2 linked regions of the Saccharomyces cerevisiae S288C genome follow. The gene in region 2 interacts genetically with the main gene of each other region. Each region holds a gene or a part of one and is shown on either strand. Other genes may lie near its edges.

Region 1 (3,762 bases), on a different chromosome or scaffold from region 2:
GATTACAGCTTCACCCAAATCACTCAAGTCAACAGAAATTAAGTTATAAAACTTGGATGTCTCCGACAGGGGCCATACAGCAGTTAGTATAGTTACGGCGCCTTTAACATGGAAAATCCATGCCGTTGGTGAGCTGCTTGAAGCATTTGCCAATGAATCTAGGATTAATATTAGAGCACTAGCCACCAAAGCATCTGTGTTATCATCTGAAATTTCGAGCACAGCCTCTCTTAACAGTCTCAACGCTTCTAAACGATGACTAGACACGTAGTTATCCAAGCCGGCTTCAGTTCTGGACAAATGAGTGGCGCTAAAAGCCAAAATTGTATGCATCAAGAAGGGAAAATGAAAAGCCAAATCCGGAATATAAGTGCTCCATACTTCAGGACCAGAAATGCCTGCTTCGGTTATGGTATGCCATACGTCAGTACAATAGTGATGAAAAAGTTTTAGATCTATCAAATTCAAATTTGATTTTCTAGACAGCCCGACTAATTCAGGGACTAGTCGTGAGGCTGATGAAGCGTTTGAATGGGGAGAAGATTGTTGTTGAGTGTGAGAATTTGATGAACGTGGAGACAATGCCTCCGAGTTGGATAACAGGTCACCCATTGGGGACGTCTTCAAAGTAGGAGAATTTCCCAAAGCGGTCCTGTTGTCCGGTATAGATAACAATGACTTTGTAGAGGTTACATTGGATACTCCCGTTGAAGGGGACGCAATGTTTTGATCTATGGAAGGTTTGGACAACGTGTGTGGGGGACTGATTGTGAGACCGGTATTGTCGATTATCAAGTTTTTGTTATGAGATAGTATATCAGAAGCAGTAACTTTATTTTCGTTTCCGTTAAGGGGGTTATTGCCCGAATTAACAGCATCCGTCTTAGTATTATCCAATGGGTTCTTCGTAAATTGCTTGTTTTTGTCCTCCTGTTCCTGTTGCATATTTGCGAGTGCCTCCTCTGCTGTGCTAACTTTGATTGCTCTGTTATTAGATGTAGCAAACTTTCCGAGGCCAAATAACTCTTGAAACTCAGAGGCCATTCCATTTGCAGCACCGTATGGAAATAATGTATTGAAGCTCTTCATATTGAAGTTCAAGCCCATCTTGTTCAATTGCGCTAGCTGGTCGAAGGGAATATTGCTGAAGGGGGACTGTGTTCCTTGTTGTTGTGGAATTTGCTGATTTTGTTGTTGAAGTTGTGGCTGCTGCAATCCATTCGTCACCGAATTTAGCCTACCAGGCGAGAGTAAGCCGTTAAGGCTACTTGATAAATTCATGGCCGTTGATTGAAAACTAGGTGTTATCGGTATACTCAATGGCGAATTCCCTGGTAGGGCCATGTTTGGGTGGTTGTTGTTTATCATTGAACTGGGAGCTGTTTGTGTTATATTATTATGCGCTTCAGCTCCATTTGCACTGCTGTTGGTACTGTTACTGGTGTTATTCACTAAACTCGCTAATAGGTGCGGTAACAAAAGATTCTCCATATTATTGGATACGGATGGAGGAACGCTATTAGGGGAATTGCTTTGTTCATCAGTACCAACATGTGGCAACAGTTGCTGCTGTAACTGAACTTGCTGTTGTTGACGAAATTGCTGTTCTTGTTGATGATGAAGTTGCTGTTGTTGTTGTTGTAACATGATGGCATTGTCACTCAGATTTTTCTTGCCTACCCTATCGTGGACCGCTGATGCAAATTTTGACGACGAAGAATCTTTTCTTCTTCTTGGCTGAATAGGGCTGTAAACACAGTCCAATTTCATGTTTGTACATTTCTTGCAAAATGGTTTGCCTTCATCACATTTTACTCTTCTTCTTTTACAATTGTCGCAACCGGTCTTGGACTTGTTATGAAACTTCCGTTTCCCTGTCGAAGTCTTGCTCACTTTCTTGCCCCCAACCTCAATCAGTTCAGCATCCTTCTCTCTTTCTTGTCCAGCATTCCCATCATCGGATGTCATGTTATGTTAGATGGAGATCTATGGATAAACGAAATATAAACCTTAAATGAAAAAAACCGTCGACTTAACTCCTCTATATTATGTAAAGGCGAAATGTTATTTGTGCCTTTGAAAAGTGGAGGTCTTGGTTGCTTCTCCTTCGACGATAATCGATTTCGGTGACTAGTTAGTAGATGATGTAATCGTAGACGCAGGGAACCCTTGCTTTTCCCCAATCGTAACAAAAAAAAACAAGGGGAAATAAACTATTAGATAGTACGAGTTCGTTAAGTTAAAAAAAAGGCTATAAAAGTCGAAGAACGAATGATTACGACCAACATCTATTGTTCAAACTTGCCTTCGTTGAGTTTATCGAACGCGCTCGTTTAAATTTTTCCGACAAGAACGAGGAACGAGTCACCAATTACGTTTTCGGCTCTGTCGGTTGCAGGATCTGTAAAAGCGATATAGATACACACGTCAGCATGAAGCTCTTATGATTTGGCGAGTAGTGTTAGTACGTTAAATGCTACGACTCGGCATATACTGTGCTCGTTTTTATCAGTTTCATCCGAGGATTGTAGCCTTTTTTTTTCATTTGTTGATGTTTCTCTAGTATTTTCCGTCTTGTAGTGGTTTCGGGTATGTTGAACATAAACATTAAAAAAGACGATTAAATAAACTTGAGTTTGTACAAAGGAAAGCTGTAGTCATAGAGTATTTAGAAAAAAAAGCAGCCACAGTTTACATGAAGATGTGACCAATGAGGAGGCATCGGTTTGCCTTTGAATCTCAATCGCTTGAAAATTGAGTTCTTTTCGAATGATGACACCTCCGAGAAATGGCATTTCTATGCTAGCGCCACTCTACCCTTTCAAACGTCCGTACTCATATGAAGTTTCATCCTTCACGCAGCGATCTAAAAAGTTGTAAAAAAAAATACATTTAGGCCTAGCTATATATGCTACTATGTATCATTCAGTGAAATGGCTGAGGTTATATAAAATACTGGGAGGTCGTTTTTACGCTAAAGCAGACCTTGCGGATCTTTTCCTGTAGAATATATTTGTAGCATAAGTCCAATTTTACGGGCGCATTTTCAAAATCAAGGTGATATTGACATATTTTGAAGAGCACCCAATGGGCTAGCTGCAAGAACAAAGAGACCAGAAAGCCTAGAATTAAATGCCAGAAAAATGGAAATTTATTCTAGACAAAAATTGTTCGGCACCTCTACAGACGTTTAACGAACCTGGTCCGGCCTTTGAGGCGATCAAAAAAAGGCCCATTTTTGTGTTCCGCGTAATTGGTTTGCGCCTTTCCATGGAGCTTGGTGGGCGACATTCTCAAACTGGTTTCCTGATACATCATGCACGCCCGTAAAGGGTTTAAGTATTGATTGCTAGCCTGAATGTTTCATATGCATACCGTGTCTATGCAACGAATATATTTCAGAAAAAAGCACGAAAGCCAAATTTTTGATGTTAAGAGGTGTTTTTGCCCGTAAACGGAGAAGACGTGGTAGGACTCGCAAATGTCGCGTTTAGCGTTGAAGAACATGGAAGTATTGAACGTTTGGGGCTTGACGGCTCGACTTTTTTGCACTACTCCGCCTTGAACAGACGGATGATCCTGGCGCAAGAAACAAAGAGAATCAACTCTGAGCAAAGCGAAAAAATGAAATACAACGATAATAAAAGGATAGGAAGGTGTATATATAAGTTAATTTTAGATATAGATTAAGAAAAGATGGGCATATACTAATATGACTACAAAATTGCACATTTTTTACTTTTCTTGATAACAGGAGGCTCC
Region 2 (2,913 bases):
TATTCCAACAGTTACGTAAACCGTTATCAAATAAATACGCTCAGATTCAATTCTGATTAATTTTCATTGGGGCTGATGCTTTCGCTGCAAGTTGTCATAGTATTATTTATTTATTAATACCTTAGATTTTCTTGACAATTAACCAATTTTTAATCATTAAACTTAATAATATTTAATGCTACTGTACTTTTTATTATTATTTATTATTAATTTATTTATTCGTTCATCTTGTATGTAATCGTCCTCCGTTCTTTTCCCTTTACCGCTGGCTTGCGCGCGATGATTTCCACTAAAAGCTTGCTTGGAAATCTCGATCACCGACATACGCCCTGAGAATGCTTATAGGAGCTATTGAGGCGAAAGAAGTGGAGGGAAAGTAATATCCCGAGAACGAAAACGCAAGGTTTATTGTCATGAAAATGCAAATGCACCGTTGACAAAACCAACCACACGATTATCACGACTACTACCATAATAGGTAGGCAATGAACCACTTTGTTCAGCAAATGGGTCCAACACGAATCGACTTTTCGAGGCTTCCTTCGGCCGTTTTCCGGCCAGTTAGTGCTGATTATATATCATACTCTAGTTTATGTTCGCTTTACGTATGGTAGTGTCTCTAAGCTATTCCGTCTTTTTAAGAAGCGCATCGATATTGGGATGCCGCCTTCGCCAGTAATTTTCCTGAGCTTGTCGTTCGATCTCCGCTGCCTTGAGCAAAAAGTTTTGATAATTCAGTCTGGAACTAGGAGAAGCTGACTCGATGGCATCTTCAGGCTTAGCGGTGACCGGAGAATTGCCAATTGACGTGGCTGTTTGCTTCTTGGGGGTTACTCCCTCAACAAGGCGTAGAAAATAACGGTAGCAATCCTCATCGCTGTAAAAGTAATACGGAGTATGCCATTGCCCATGATTAAACAAATATTGGTTCATGTTGTATGTGATGATCCTCCATTCTTTCCCTTCTACCGCCGGTTTACGTGTGATGACATCCACTAAAAGCTCGGTCCTAAAATTTCGACGACTGACTAGCTTTGGATTACCATCACTTAATATTATTAACAAACCTACAAGAGAAGTAAAAGCAAATATTGCAGAATTGAAAACACAAGCTTCGTTGTCATTAAAAAATATAATTAATAAAACCAAAACCCCTATTACCAGGGACAAAATCATGACTGGTGTATAGCGAGCGATTTCATAGATCCAATAACTCAAGTACGAACGGAATATGTCCTTAGGAAGAGCCACATTTTTCTCAATTAAATGTGCACTAGGTTCGTTAAGTGTATCTAACTTGACGTCGGTACTTTCTGGAGGGGTCTGCATAGCCAATATATACCTTGTATTGCCTATGACTATAGTATTCCTGGTTGTTTCTGTGCCACTGCATACTGATCAAATGTTTCAATTACGCAGGACCCTTTTACGATTGTTTTTCATCTCTAGAGGCATTTTCAACATCGTATTTTCCGAAGCGTTGCATAATGAAAATGTGATAATAAGGCAGTGAGCTACTTTGTCACAACAAAGTACGAGAACAGATGAGGTTCCGTGGTGTTTTTGGGGCAACCGCACTATTTGGAGCGCTGTATATATTTATATCCTACTACAAAAAATCATAAATGACACTGAATTGGACACATGCTAGCGTCAAATACCTTGCCTGGTAAAGTTGTGTGCTAGTGTCTCCCGTCTTCTGTCTAAAAAAACTCATCGACACCAGGATACTCTTGTCGCCAATATTCCTTTTGAAATTGTTGTTCGATTTCGGCTGCCTTGGTGAGGAGCTTTATAAAGTTCGGTCCGGCACTAAAACTAGAAGACTCAGCGGCTTCGTTTGGTGTGCCAGCGGTTTCGTCATTTGATTGTGCGTCTTTAACATTGCTGGCTGACGATTCCTTTTGCTTCTTGAAAGTTCTTCCCTTAATAAGACTTAGAAAATAACGGTGGCAATCTTCATCACGGTAAAAGTAGTAGGGAGTATCCCATAGCCCATGATCAAATAAATACTGGTTCATCTTGTATGTAATTGTCCTCCATTCTTTCCCCTTTACCGCCGGTTTACGTGTGATAATTTCCATCAGAAGCTTAACTTTAAATTCCCGATCACCGATCGGTTCACTAAATGCAATTACAACCATGCATGTTCCTGGAAAGCAAAAGGAAAACAATAGTATCTCAAAGGCAACGCAAAATTCCGTATTATAAAAAAACACTAATAATAAAATTGAAGTCACAATAAGTACGAGCAAAATTACTGCCGCTTTATGACGAGTAACTTCATATATCCAATAACTTAAGTACGAACCGAATATGTCCTTGGGAAGAGCCACATTTTTCTCAATTAAATATGCACTGGGTTCGTCGAGAAAATCCGACTTGGCGTCGGTACTTTCTGAAGATGTTTGCATGCCCAGTTTATATCTTGTCTTCTCTATAGCTCTGCTATGGTGTTGAAGGATGTTATGCGGATCAAAATAGCGATCTGTCTTATACCAATTGAAACTTTTCATCACCTGCTTTTTACTTCGGAGGCATTTTTCATTCAATACTAAGTTCCGGAATGATACAAAATAAAAATGGTATTGAGGCGACATAAGTTGTTAGCACAGCAAAGATGGTTGCGGGTTAAGTTTTCTGATCGTTCTGGGAGAGTATTTACGTTAAAAAATAGGAATCAATTAAGCATAATCATGCCGTTTTGTGTGCTACATATCTGTTTCCCACTATATAAAGTCACGTTAGAATGCAATTTATCTAATTTACTACCCCATTTTAGCGTCAGTGGATTGGTAAATCCCTTTGCTAGCAAGGTACTGTCAGAATATTTCTCCTTCCTTTCAAATAATTGCACCAATATCTTGCCAATACTTCACTTGAGATTGTTCTACAATATCCGCTGTCTTGGAA

The links.
Region 1: mutations in MST28 (region 2) and ECM22 together harm fitness more than expected from each alone (negative genetic interaction), as found in Saccharomyces cerevisiae (one large-scale study listed by BioGRID).

The regions. Positions count from the first base shown.
Region 1 is NC_001144.5:600,496-604,257, forward strand, and holds the start of ECM22 (Ecm22p), read right to left. Parts: upstream 1,969-3,762; coding exon 1-1,968. Other genes in the region: Rho family GTPase CDC42, read right to left, coding at 3,717-3,762.
Region 2 is NC_001133.9:186,523-189,435, reverse strand, and holds MST28 (DUP240 family protein MST28), read right to left. Parts: upstream 1,330-2,913; coding exon 625-1,329; downstream 1-624. Other genes in the region: pheromone-regulated DUP240 family protein PRM9, read right to left, coding at 1,704-2,600; DFP2 (DUP240 family protein), read right to left, coding at 2,891-2,913. UniProt on the Saccharomyces cerevisiae protein: Involved in protein trafficking vesicle formation, probably by stabilizing of coatomer at the Golgi membrane and thus allowing the efficient formation of COPI coated vesicles.